4 separate regions of the Mus musculus genome follow, and regions 1, 3 and 4 are each reported to be linked to region 2. Evidence: microRNA targets listed by miRTarBase, many of them from high-throughput screens and not tested one by one. Region 2 holds a microRNA gene; each other region holds the end of a gene's coding sequence.
Evidence for each region. Region 2 holds the annotated microRNA mmu-miR-24-3p (UGGCUCAGUUCAGCAGGAACAG, at 1,519-1,540, opposite strand). A microRNA usually pairs through its seed, bases 2 to 8, with sites in the 3' UTR of a target mRNA and lowers its output. Matches are read on the target gene's strand: a 7mer-m8 pairs with bases 2 to 8, a 7mer-A1 pairs with bases 2 to 7 and ends in A, and an 8mer does both.

Region 1: the mRNA of Negr1 is a reported target of mmu-miR-24-3p. The part of its 3' UTR that is shown has no 7-base or 8-base seed match.
Region 3: miRTarBase lists Vav1 as a target of mmu-miR-24-3p. Seed matches in the 3' UTR shown: 7mer-m8 at 2,799-2,805 and 8mer at 1,798-1,805.
Region 4: the mRNA of Ccdc85b is a reported target of mmu-miR-24-3p. Seed matches in the 3' UTR shown: 8mer at 513-520.

Annotation. Positions count from the first base shown.
Region 1 is chr3:157,312,330-157,315,776 of GRCm38, forward strand. It overlaps Negr1 (neuronal growth regulator 1), which reads left to right. Exons shown (of 7, transcript NM_001039094.3): 7 at 457-3,447. The coding sequence ends at 581. Among named protein-coding and RNA genes, the nearest start is that of Gm22458, 52 kb to the right of the region's middle.
Region 2 is chr13:63,299,344-63,302,790 of GRCm38, reverse strand. It overlaps Mir24-1 (microRNA 24-1), which reads right to left and starts at 1,583; the gene lies at 1,516-1,583. Aopep (aminopeptidase O) reads right to left here. Exons shown (of 16, transcript NM_001289926.1): 16 at 1-3,447. Mir23b (microRNA 23b) reads right to left here and starts at 2,307; the gene lies at 2,234-2,307. It overlaps Mir27b (microRNA 27b), which reads right to left and starts at 2,079; the gene lies at 2,007-2,079. It also overlaps Mir3074-1 and a transcript of Fancc not described here.
Region 3 is chr17:57,327,155-57,330,549 of GRCm38, reverse strand. It overlaps Vav1 (vav 1 oncogene), which reads right to left. Exons shown (of 27, transcript NM_011691.4): 27 at 1,314-2,899. The coding sequence ends at 2,846. Among named protein-coding and RNA genes, the nearest start is that of Adgre1, 30 kb to the left of the region's middle.
Region 4 is chr19:5,453,854-5,457,300 of GRCm38, forward strand. Ccdc85b (coiled-coil domain containing 85B) reads right to left here. Exons shown (of 1, transcript NM_198616.4): 1 at 1-3,447. The coding sequence ends at 2,936. Fosl1 (fos-like antigen 1) reads left to right here. Exons shown (of 4, transcript NM_010235.2): 3 at 560-667; 4 at 1,039-2,085. The coding sequence ends at 1,455. Among named protein-coding and RNA genes, the nearest start is that of Ccdc85b, 2.0 kb to the right of the region's middle.

The sequences.
Region 1 (3,447 bases), not on the chromosome of region 2:
GCATGTTCAAACTCTAATGTTGTATGGTATTTTGATGCAGTTGTTTAAATGTCTTCACACGCATATAAAACAAAGTCCTTGAAAAGGAAAATTTACTTTTGTTTGTTTGTTTTTCCAGCATTTGATGTAGTATTTGGCTGTTCCATGAAAGCTTCGCAAATGTCTGCATAAGTGAATATTGCCTGTGAACGCAAATAATTATTGTACACTTAGGAGGAGTAAGAGCATCATTGGACCTTATTGGGTCCAGAAGCTCATTTCCAGTTTACACCACAGCTCTGGGAGGTGGATTTTATTATGGCTCTTTTGCCCTTAAAAAAACTGACCTCAAAGGTTAATCTAGTAGGCCGGATGAGGCTAACCATTTCTGCCCCCAGCACCACCCCAGTTGGATATTGTCAAGAATACCAGAAGGTGAGAACTATATTTGACTGACTCTCTTCCATTCCTTTCCAGCTCCAAGTACAGCCCAGTATGGAATTACTGGGAGTGCCTGCGACCTCTTCTCCTGCTGGAGCCTTGCGTTGACACTATCTTCTGTCATCAGTATATTCTACCTGAAGAATGCTATCCTTCAATGAATCTAAAGACCCATGAAAGGCTTTTAAGGAGTCTCTGGGAGTGCTGATGGCTGGATCCAATCTGGTGCAGTTAGCTTGAAGCAGCGTGGGATACAATCGGCCGTCTGTACGCGGGTGACGCCTTTTGTCTGTGGAATCGCTGGTTGTGTAAATACTTTCATTCTCCTCTCCTTTTGATTAGACACACGACCTTGTGAAGCACTGCACATTGTCCCTTTTTTAAGATGTGAAAGGTCTGAACTTACTTTTAGAGGATATTAATTGTGATTTCATGTTTGTAATCTACAACTTTTCAAAAGCATTCAGTCGTGGTCTGCTAGGCTTCCGGCTGTAGTTTACATAACAAATATTGCAGTGAACCCATAATTCTTTAAGGCTGCAATACAAGGGTTCCATGCCCTGTTTCAATAAGAGTCAACCCACATTTACAAAGATGCATTTTTTTCTTTTTTGATAAAAATTCAAATAATATTGCCTTCAGATCATTTCTTCAAGATGTAACACATACCTAGACGTCCCTGCTCGCATGACATCCAGGTTTTGGAAATGAGCCTTGTAATATAACTCGCTATGCTTCTCCTTCTAATCTCAGCATGGGTGTGCCTTCATAAAATAATCTCTTGGTCTCTGACAAATACATAATGTTTTCCTAAACCTTGCAATCTGGAAGCAAAAAAGTAAATTACACCAATAAGCTAAACTCCACCCCACTTTGGGGGGCGCCAAGAAGCTATTAGGCTGTGTCTAGTCATTACCCATTGAGCCTGAGAACTTTGCCCACAGCATCTCAGTTTTCTTGATAAAACAATTTAATAACATGATTGAAGTTCAGGTTTAATATTAGTGCCACTGTGGGAAAACATAGCCCATCACAGGACAGCACAGCCTGTTCAAGAGACCCCTGGTAAAGCAGCAGTCTCCTGCACTATTCAAGTTGATACCCTAACATAGCTTCTTTGCATAGACCACAGCCCTGCCACCCAAGAGACATGAGGTGGCGAGTGCTCAGATTAGGCTTTGACATCAGTAAGTTACTGTGACAGAAACCCTGCAGATTTCCATCTGATTCTCCGTCTTTGGTTGATAGGAATGCATCTTATGTTCCTTACAATTCCAAAATGTGTTTTAACAAATATTGGGCATCCATGCATAACAGATCAGCCCTGAAGTAACTAATTCTTCACCAAAATCTTGTTAGTCATTACCACTCAAATTGATGCCAAAACTGAAGACTCACCATGTTTCACTGCATCTTACAGGACATATGTGAGATGCAACCAAATGGACACACCAGAAGGAGGGCATCATGGGATATGTTAATCACTCAATGATTGTGAATATTACATTTTTTCTATTCAAGAAGCAAAACTACATTTTTGAAGGAAAATGCTGTTAGTCTAACTACTATATTACAGGAATAGGCTCATGGTCTTGCTTTTGACCAAAGAAAAGACCAGAGCCTTGAAAGCCATTTTTCAGGTCTGATGAAGTTGCCAATTTCAGCACGCCTAGGTTTCTACAGTGACCTTCTGCACACCCTAAATAAAGACCTACTCTCAAAACTACACCCAAGGACTTTTACAGTGATTATTTTAGGTAGTTCATGTTTTGCCCTGGAAGGATGGCTTTAAATTTTTGATTCTTTTCTAAACAAATTTTAGACCCAAAAGACACCATAAATCTATTTTAATTAGGAAAATGAATCATAAGTGAGGAGACATAAATACATAGTCTTCCTATGAAATGGCAATAATGTGGCATAATGCTATGAAATTTACTAGCTGTAATAAATTTATGTCATTTTGATTGATATATTAAAAATGAATTTTGAAAATTATGGCATCTAAATTTCTAGGTGATTTGATACTAAAAATGTTCTTTGTGGAATTAGTGAGCAAACAACAGAATTATTTTTCTTTGTATTGCAGCTTTAAAGTAGCACACTCCACAATAACCTACTTTTAGAGATAGCGGTGCTACCATGGAGTGTTGGCCACCTGAACCGCTGTTTGGGGAGAGAAGCAGTTGGAGAATGCGTATTCTACAGTGACCGTTTCCCTAGAGTTAAAAATGCCTCCTCTGTGTAAGGTGTGTAGGGTACATGTGAGGTAAACTGAGGTATAAAATACAGATGAACCAAATAATTAGTTCTAAGTGTTGTCATGATTCCGAATTCGTGGAGTCCGGTGTTTTTCCATAGAGTGTGACAAAGGACAGTCATAGCTCAGTAGCTACATGTATTTGCCTTTATGTTAGAAGAGACTTTCTTGAGTGACATTTTAATAGAGGAGGCATCCGCTATGTTTTTCTGTATTACAGCAGCATAGTCCTTAGGCGCCTGGACAGAGTGAAACCATGAGTATTTATGAGTTCAGTATTGTTCAAATAAGGCTACAGTATTTGCTTTTTTGTGTGAATGTATTGCATATAATGTTCAAGTAGGTGATTTTACATTGACGGGCATCTGAAATGTCTGATTACTCCATTTTATCAGTCCTGACTGTACAAGATTGTTGCAATTTCAGAATAGCAGTCTTATGAAGTTAATTTATCTTTTGATTTACAACAATTTCTTTAGCTATTCATTTCAGCGTTATGTTTTCCACAATATCCATTTGTGGGATTCCTTTTGTTGCCCCTAAATTTTTAAAGAAAGAAGGAAAAAATGATGATAGAGAAAGGAGAATGTGAAAATGGAGAAAAGGAAAAAAGAGTATGGGGGATAAACAGAAATGACTGAAGGAAGCGAAGAGGTTGGGAGGGAGAGTGGGGGAGAGCTGGAATCTTCTGCTGATGAGCCTATTGGACTGCATTCTTGGTTTAACTGCAAATGGCCGAATTTTTTCCCAATGATCTTATTCTACAC
Region 2 (3,447 bases):
GATACTTGTACCATTGTGGTATACAAAGCAGATAACCATTTGCAAGTCCCCTGCAACCATCCAAATGCAGTCACTGCTACAGCCCAGGCTCTGAAAACCAATGGTTCTGTGCGGACGCTCCTCTCAGTCTGTCCTAGAGCCTTTGTCACCCAGCAGGTCTGGGTGCAGAAGCCTGGCCAGCCAGTGGGATGCTCCTTCTGGTTCCTCTGTCCACCGCTCTGCCTTGGCTGGGCTCATGTGACTGCACTGATGGCTCAGTCTCAAGCACCGTTCTCTAGACAGTGACTGAAAGAGCTTAGAGCTTGTTCTGAGACTCCGCTAGTACCAGGCTGGCTGAAACTCCACATTTGGAAGAGAGCAGAGTCCCAAGCCACACTAATTTCCCTTTACTTCCAACCTTTTTAGAATTAACATTACCTGGAGGTAGGAAGTGTGTGGAAAGTGCCTGTTCTGACACACGTTCTTCTTTGCTTTTAAGGAGCATCAAATTCAGAAGCAAACTGGAACACTAGCAAATCTGGTACTTTATTAAGACATTTTAGGCTTTCCTGCATTTTCAAAAACAGGAATGCTCTGTTGACTGAACACATCAAAAGGGCTTTGCAGAATCCTTGGGGACCAGCCACAGGAGGTGTCACATGATTCTGCAGTCTCAGAGCATGGCAGCTAGTTTTTGCAATCACAGGAAGCAGGCAACCGGCTCTCCATCTGCCTAGGGGAGGGTGTCCTTCATTGAATGACTGCCTTAAAGTCACAGCTCAATTCCAGTGTGTAGACTCAGTCTCTCTAGGACTGGGAACAAAGGCAGCTGCCAGGTGCAACAGTTTATGAGGCTCCGCCTTTTATATATGCCACGGGAGCCCAGTCTCTGGAAGCCCAAGATGGACCAACCACTGCTGTGGGCTGATGGCCTTAGCAGCCACATAATCCTCCCTTTGATGTCCAGGGTCAGTGCAGTCCTGGCCCCACCAGGGCTAGGAGAAGGTATATGAGAATCTCACTGTGATCTGTCCTGTGGAGGAAACAGCAATAAAATTTATTACCCAGTCACCACAGCCATTCCAACAGGAGTCCTCCCAGCCTCTGACCTCCACTTGAGAGGGAACTTTTCATGGGAGGACAGGGGCAACACTGAAGCCACACCTCACAATCCTGGGTCTGGGGTGCACAGTCACGGCACAGGCCATGCAGGGCTGTGAAGCCCAGAGAGGTTCAGAAAGGCTCTACAGACAAGGCCCTTCAGACAGGCATTCTCACTGCTCAAGGCAGCGGTGACATGGTGTGCTCTGCCCCAACACGTGGCAAATGCTCAGCGCCTGCCCTACCTGCTTCTAGGGAATGCAAACTTTCCAAGGTTAGCTCTGCACTCTACAAATCCCCACCTCGGGAGCACATACAGAGGGATACCACTGCTGTTGGGTCTGGTACCAGACACTCAGGCCCTTCATCTTCTTCTCCGTGGGAGGCCTGCCTCAGGCACTTACAGATGGGTAGGCTTTTTGCTCAAGGGCTCGACTCCTGTTCCTGCTGAACTGAGCCAGTGTGTGAAATGAGAACTGATATCAGCTCAGTAGGCACCGGAGGGCGGGTCCAATCACAGCTGGGCAGTGCCTCCTGGCGTGCCCTGGGCATCATCTTGCCAGCGACTGTGGAGACATGGAGACCTGGACTGCAAATACAAGAAAGAGTTCACCACGCCCAGCAGGGACAAAGAACCACACCCCCACCCATCACGTGTGGCATCAGCTGAGACAAGGTTGGCTCAGTTTCCTTGATGCACCTGGGTTTAGTTTTCTGTGACTCCCAATACACTTGACATTACAGTGAACTAATTAGCAGTAGAACTGTATTTTCTGTAGACACACTTAAGGGTGGTCAGCACGCTGTTTGCACTCTTGACAACACAGCCTTGAGGCAGGCTGGTCTCTCCTCCTCTGGAGTGACCACCAGGCAGTGGCCTCTGCCTGGCAGCTGCAAGTTAACTGTCCCCATCTCACCTTCTCTTCAGGTGCAGAACTTAGCCACTGTGAACAAAGCGGAAACCAATCACTGTTCACCAATCAGCTAAGCTCTGCACCTTGTTAGAGAGGTCATCGCCGGCCATAATTAAAGGGCTGGTGAGCATCTTCGAAGGCTGTTGGCTTCTTTTGTTTCCAAAGAGCCACAAGGCGCCTCTGTTCTCCAAACTGCAGAGAGAAAGTAGCCACGGTTCTGCAGGAGCAGCCAAGGTCATGGTTGCGTGGTAATCCCTGGCAATGTGATTTTAATCTCAAGTCACAAATCAGCATGCCAGGAACCCAAGCAGCCAGAGCAGGTGAGGGCAGCACCATGCCCAACCACTCCCATCCACATGTGCTGAGTGTCCTCCAAACCGCCTCTGAGCCCACCACGCTAGCAGTGCAGCCTGCTGTCCTTCAGCGCGCTGGCTGCACTGTATAGAGGAGCATAGGGGACTGGGAGACAAAGGACACACTTATCAGCTATGAGACCAATACCTTAGGGACCATCCTTGCTCTGAGTATGTGGCCTTTAACCCTGGGACACACCCTGTTCTCCAATTGCAGACTGAATGGGTTGGGATGTCTCTGGGCCCCTCAGACAGCAGGTGTGGTGTGTAGGGAGGGAGCATCTCTCTGGCTTGCCTGTGACCAAGCATTTGGTTGGATAAGCTGAGGCATAGCACAGAGCTCATAGGGGACCTAGCAAGTTGAGGATTTGCTCACTCAGGGGGCAAAAATACTCTTAGAAGAGTCACTAGGACCACTATGTGACTATGGCTTTCCTAAGTGAAGGCCTAGGGACCTAAAAAGGGAACAGTGGCTTTACTGTGTGACCTTCACACACCACATACCAACAATCCCTCAGCTTACAAGTTTCTAGAGAAATGTCTGCAGGAGGCAGTGAAGAGGCGCCCCGACCGACTCTGTCTATCCACACAGGCCACCGTCCTAGCTTGTAGTGTGCAGGCTTAGCAGGCTGTACCTGCTTACTCCAGCCCACTATCTCCCCTGCTTGACTGTGGCGGTCCCCAGCTCTTCTGCAACAACATGGTCATACATAGTAACATGTTTTCCCTTCATCAGTGTAGTTCTTCAGAAAAATAAACATTACACAGAAGTGGGTTTTATAAAAGTGAAATGTGAAAATGTAAATTTAATGTCTGACAATGGGTTAAGATTAGCAACACAATTCTAAATATTCATTAATTGGTAATCATAGAGAACAACAGAGTAACACAGTGATTGATGTAAAATTTCAAACATATACAAAAGTAAACATCATATGTACCACCATGGCAAGCGATAATGTCCTGGGATGATGTAGAGATGATGACTGGCGACTATGAAAGAGACGCACTAGCCCACACCTGTCTCAGAACTCCACGCCCTGTGGCTGAACTGCATTACTGGTCCACAAGCTGGCTACAGAGGAGGCAAGTTACACCAC
Region 3 (3,395 bases), not on the chromosome of region 2:
GCTGTCTGGCAGCTCACTGACAGTGTTCCAGACAAGAGAGAGACCCTGTCTCAAAAGAAACAATGACGACCCATGAGCAATGACACATGTGCAGGCATACTTACATTTACATGTGCACTGGCACACATATGAACACACGTGCATATATGCACAAGAAGAAAAGAAGATACAGATAATGTGGCACCTCTCTCTCTTCTGGAGATCCTGTGGAACATCCCAGGGAGACCTTATAGCCCCAAATCCTTATCTTGGGCTCTGACTGCAGATGGCACAGCCTAAGACACCAAAATTACGATGGTGGTGCTATGGACATGCTTGAGAATCATATGGGAATCCATTCTCTGGCGATGGGTAAGGGATTAACTTGATTAGGCTAACTGACTGTGAGTGGCCCCATCCCGTGGGCTGGGGTGCTGCTCTGAACACCAGCATTCACCTCTCCACTTTGTAACTGTGGATGCTGGGTGATCAGGCAGCTCACACGCCTGCCACCATGCCTTCCCTGCTGTGGTGGACTGGGATGGGGACCATGATAAATCTTTCTTCCTGAATTGCATTTCCCAGAGTATCTTATCCCACCAATGAGAAGAGCAGGTGCCACGAAAATGTGACACTTTGGAGAATGAAACAGAGTGCCTGGTTAGCTCTAGCTGTCAACACAGCTACTCTGAGAGAGTCTACACTGAGTAACTGACCAGATTAGACTGGCCTGTGGCCATGTCTGTGAGAGATCATCTTAACTGATGTTGCCTGATATGGATGGAACCATCCCTAAACAGGTGGTCCAGGGCTATATAACGAAACCAGCTGAGCAACTGATGGAAATAGATGCAGAGACCCACAGTCAAATATTAGGCAGGGCTTGGAGAACCCTGTGGAAGAGGGGGATGAAGAATTGAAGGAGCCAAAGGAGTGAAGGGTACTCACAACAAAACCCACAGGATCAACAAACTTGTGCCCAAAGAATCTCACGGAGACCGAACTGCCAACCAGGAGCATGCATTGGGATGAGCCTAGGCCCTCTCTATATATGCCACAGTTGTGTAACTGGGTCTTCGTGTGGAAGTCCCAAAGCAGGAGACAGGGCTGTCTCTGACCCTGTTGCCTGCCTCTGGGACCCTTTCCTCCTACTGGGTTGCTTCATCCAGCCTCAACAGGAGAGGAGGTGCCTCATCTTACAGCAACTGCCACCACAGGAGGCCTCCCCTTTTCAGAGGAGGAAAGCAAGGGGGAGGGGTGGGGGAGGGGGAAGGGGAGGGGCGGGGGAGGGGCGGGGGAGCTTGGAAGAGAAGAAGGATGGGAAGCTGCCATCTGGCTATAAAGTAAGTAAAAACTTTATTACTGAAAAAGAAGAAAGGATGGTAGCTGGGCATAAAGCCAATAATGAGCCAGTAAGAGCATCCCCCGCCCCCTGGCCCCTGCTTCAGCTCCTGATTCAGCTCCTGCCCTGACTTCCATCAGTGACAAACTGTGGACACTGGAAGTGTAGCCAAAACATACATCTTTTCCTCCGCGGGGAGCATTAGGTCAAGTCGTTTGCCACAGCAACAAAAATCAAAGTAGGACACAGGTCACAGATAACTACACCAGGGCAACAGGCAAAATGAGCCTGGGTAAACCAGAGTGCGTGCGGTTGTTCTACCTGGCGGGCCAAGAAGGGTTCTGATGTGAGCAATGTCGTCTCCACAGGAAGCAAGGCAGCAAAGGAGAGCTGGCTATCTCCTCAGTACACCAGAGCCAAGGTTTATAGGATTTACCCTAGATTTTTGAAGAGCTTATTTTGAGAGGTTGGAGAGATGGCTCAGGGGTTAAGAGCACTGACTGCTCTTCCAGAGGTCCTGAGTTCGAATCCCAGCAACCACATGGTGTCTCACAATCATCTGTAATGGGATCTGATGCCCTCTTCTGGTGTGTGTGAAGACAGCGAGGGCGTACTCATATATATAATAAAGGGGGGGGGGGAAGAGAGAATATATTGAGGTTTTTTTCCCTTACTCAGCGGAAGGAGAGAACTCAAAACATTAACTTCTATTATAAGGAAGCTGAGGCAGGAGGATGACAAGTTGAAGTCCAGCTGCAATATGTTCAAGGTCAGTCTGGCCTATTTAGCAAGACCTTGTCTCGAAGATTTTAAAGGACTGGGAGTGTGGCACAGCAGTAGAGTCCCCTCCCCTCCCCCAACCCCACTACCAGAAGCCCACAATAAGGGCTGGGGCGTGGTCAGGGGGTGGAGCCCCACCCAGAATCCCCCCAGTGAGGAGTTAGGGAATGGTTGTGGTGGATCCCCTGCCTAGAATCTCCCAGTGAGGCGCTCAGCTGTAGTGTGTCTTCCTATCATGCTGAGGTCAAGAGGTCTTTCCTTGGCGTTGAGGACAAAAAGAAGGGAAGGGGAGGTATAGACTTGATTTCTGCAATCCAGACCCTGTAAAGACAGCACTCTCTTCTGCTGCGTAGAAATCCCAGGTCTCCTTCAACCTGTACTGTAAAAGTCAGAGAAGGGAGGCCTTGACACAAGGAGGGCATTGCTTGAGTGAACTTTGGTCAGTGCGTGCCCACCCTGTGGCTCCCCTTACAGTCAGTCTGGAACACGCCAGTTCCTGCTCTCCTCACTTTATTAGAATCAGTTGCCTCAAGCCCCACCTTTCGTGGAGGACTGGAGAAAATCAGTGTGTTATAAATTACGCATCTCTGGGCTTTATCCTGGGAACCCTGCCAGCTGGCCACTAGCCATCTGCACGCCATCCAGATCCTCCGCTGGTGAGGACAGTTCATGGCCCCTCAACCCTGCTAGCATCCTGGGCTCAGCCTTCATCTGCCTCTCTCTGTGTCCTACAGGGCACCAGGCTCAGCAATATTCGGAATAGTCTTCCTCCACATAGTTAGAAGGGAACCAGCCGATCTGCAGAGAGAAGAGAAACCCATCAGAAAAGCCACTGTCATTTTCATGCCTCATCACAGCAGGTTGGACCCCTCTTGCCTTGGGGCTTTCACACTTACTGCTGACTTCTCCTCTGTACACACATGAGGATGGCCCTCCGACTCCTAAAAGTCTATGCTCATGTGTCACCTCGTCAGTGAAGCCTTCCAGTCACCCTGCTTATCGTAGTAAGCACCACACACTCCACACACTCTCTCTCTCAACTGTTCTCCGTAGAACTTTACCATCATTTGAATGATCACATATTCTGCCTATTTACAGGATTGATTGCTAAACCAATTTCCCTCCCCCAACACAACACAAGGTCTACAAGGGCAGGACGTTTTGACTCCCTCTCACCAGACTCCCAAGAGCCTAGAATAGACCCCAGTGCTCAGTGAACACTTTATTAATATCTCTTGGGATGCTGAGTGGACAGAAGGATGGATGAGTGAAAGGTAGATAGGTAGATAGATAA
Region 4 (3,447 bases), not on the chromosome of region 2:
GTGGTAGAGCATTTGCCGAGCTAGCATGTACCAAGCCATGGGTTTGATCCCTAGCACTAAGCAAAAGAAAAGTCCTACAAAGGGCTTTGTTGGCATAGTAGATTGATTCCCAGTAGCTTTTGGCACTCAAGAGCACCTTCTACAATTCACAGCTCCTGGGGGAAGAAATCCCATCTTCCACAGATGAGGAGGCTGAGAGTCCTGTGAAAAGAGATAATCATGTCTCATACACTCAGGAGAGAAGGCTACTTCTGCCTGAGAAATGAAAAGGCTTCCTGGGGTCCCAACATCTTAGTCCAGTCCTAAGATGCGGAAGGGAGGAAGATCAAAGTTTACAGAGAGGGAAAGCATTTCAGGAAAGAAACCAGCAGTAAAGCTAGGTGTGTGTGAGCTGGAAATGTCACCAATGAGATGACAAGCGTCCGGTACAGAGAAGCAACTGTGGAGTGTTGGGTGGTGGCACCTAGACTACAGACTGAAGGAAAGCTGGATGACCAGCTCAGGGCAGCTGGTGGCTCAGAGTCAGCCTCATTGTCTCCCTTCTTCTATCCCAACCTAGATCAGCCCAGAGGAGGAAGAGCGCCGCAGGGTGAGACGCGAGCGGAACAAGCTAGCAGCTGCTAAGTGCAGAAACCGAAGAAAGGAGCTGACAGACTTCCTGCAGGCGGTGAGCATCATCCCCAGGCCCGGACCCACAGAGCCCCAAGAGGGGTCTCGGCTCCCAAGAACACAAAAGACCCAAAATTACTCCTCAGGACTCTGTCATCCTCCCTGCCTGTGGGGAAGTCCTGGAAAAAGGATAAGGGAAAGTGGCTTAAATATTGTTTGTCGGGCTTCGAGGCAGAGTCGAAGATGGTAGGCAGCAATTCTCCTAAGATGCCCCCGTCTGATGGGAGTCATGGCCATTTTCTCCCAGAGGCTCACGGGAGGGAGTTGCAGTCCAGACTTGTTGGGGATGACAGGCACAGTCCCTACTCCAGCCTGAGGCTTGGGGATCTTTAGCCTTCATTTTCCTATCTTTCTGCTAATCCTGTAAAGGAGACCGACAAATTGGAGGATGAGAAATCGGGGCTGCAGCGAGAGATTGAAGAGCTGCAGAAGCAGAAGGAACGCCTTGAGCTGGTGCTGGAAGCCCATCGCCCCATCTGCAAAATCCCAGAAGGAGACAAGAAGGACCCAGGTGGTTCTGGCAGCACCAGCGGTGCTAGCAGCCCACCAGCCCCCGGCCGCCCAGTGCCTTGCATCTCCCTTTCTCCAGGACCCGTACTTGAACCGGAAGCACTGCATACCCCCACGCTCATGACCACACCCTCTCTGACTCCTTTTACTCCGAGTCTGGTTTTCACCTATCCTAGCACACCAGAACCTTGCTCCTCCGCTCACCGAAAGAGTAGCAGCAGCAGTGGCGACCCCTCCTCCGACCCCCTGGGCTCTCCTACACTCCTGGCTTTGTGAGGCACCCAGCCACATCCCTTGCTGGTGCTACTCCAAGCCATCCCCTTTCTCCCATTGATCCAGCAGGCCTGGACCATACCCTTGCCCCAAACCAGCAGATCTTTTATCTCTTCCGACTAGAACAAACACATTATGCTTTGATGTAGAGCCAGCTTGGAGGGGATCCCCAAAGCTGCTCACTGTTTTTCTAGAGCTGGCCTATCATAATTTGCACAAAATTAGAGGAAAATATGTTCCCTCTGCCAGAGAACGCCTGGCAGCCCAGACTTTGTAGATCCCCAGGGGTCCTTTGACACCCTTACCCCTTGCAGACCACTTTCCCACACCACGTCACTTTCTTCATGTTATCCAGCCTACTCTACACCTAGACAGAAGGTGCCCTTTGACTAGCCTAGAACACTAACTCACACAGCATCAACAGCCAGCAGCACCGGACATCCTGCAGGCTCCTCCTGAATGGCACAACGCAGGAGGCGCCAGGGGCTTCTGTGAGGAGCGGAGCTGCACTCCCTAGCTCTGAGAAGCGCTTAGCTTCAGGGTATCCGAGCCTCCACCGCAAGGGCAGCTGCTATTTATTTTCCTAAAGAGACTATTTTTATACAAACCTTCCAAAATGGAATAAAAGGCTTGAAGCTCTAGTCTGGGTTGTCATGTTGGATCCAGAGGCTAAAGGAGACCATTTGGAACAGGAGTTCCAGGTTCCAGTCTCAGCATTGACCTTGAAGAAACTACCATATGTTTTTGGACTTCCATATTCTCACCTGAAGAATGGGGCGACCCTCTGCTCTTCCTTGTCTCCTATACTGAGAGACTAAGAATGCTCTGGAGTGCAAGCAAAGAAGATTATCAATTATTTTCCCCATGGGAACCCACACTGCTCCTGTCTTAAGGACTGGGGGGGGGGCAGGGAAGGCCGGTGGTATATCCTTCCACCATCCATGCAGGCGGTTCAGTGGGCTTTAGGCCCCCAACACCTGCTTCCTGTCCCATTGTTTTAGACAGGAAGGAGCCTGGAAGGGAGCTGGAGCCACTACAGCGGCCGGATTTCAGCCTGTCTTGGCGCCCATCGGGGGAGTTAGTGGTCTACCACCGTCTCAAATCCCACCCCAATCCCAGGTAATAGGGAGTCAGCCCTAGCTCTGCAGTTCCTCCGGATGAGAACTGCACTGCATCTCTGGGTTTACGCCCTCTTCCCAACCCCGGCGAGTTCTAGACACAAGCTGGCCAGGCTTCGGGCTCTGCTTCCTTCCCAGTTTATTAGTCCCCACCCAACCACACAGCAAGTCCCTCCACTTCAGCCTCCATTTCCCCTGCTGCTCTGCCAGCAAGAGCAAGGAGCCCTCCTCAGTGCCAGGGCTTTTCCAGTCCATTCCAGCGCCCTGGTGCTCAGCCGAAGCTACGACCAGGTCTGGAGGTCCACAGCATTCCCCGAGCTCAGGGAGCAATCCAGGCAGGCATTGGCGTGGAAAATGCGGCGCCCTCAGTCATCAGGGGAGCAGGCTAGGGGCAACTGATCCGGGCTGCCCACACTGCCAGTGCTGGAACTTCCATCGCCTAGGTCGCGGGGCCCGCACGGTGGCAGGGCGAGCTCGGGTGTGGGCCCAGCACCTGAGCCCACTGCGCCGCCGGGGCCACCGCGGGGGCCCCACTCTTCGCCCAGTGCTAAGCAAAGCTCCTTAAGGGCCAGATTTTCCCGCAGCAGCTCCTCCTGGCGGCCTTCCAGCTCCGCTAGCTTCTGCCAACAGCCACCCAGGTCCTCGCGCACCGCCCGGGATGCTTGGGTCCCAAAGAGCTGCCACTGGCGCGCCGCACGCCGTCCTCGTTGGCGCTCCGAGTCCAGAAAGCAGCAGAGGTCGCGCAGCTCCCGGTTCTCCGCCTGCAGGCGCCGGTTGAGCTGTTTGAGCTCACGGATCTCGCCCAGGTGACCCTGCAGCTGCCGATTCACCTCCTGCATCAGGCGGCCGCGCTGCACTAGCGCTGCCAGGCGCGCCG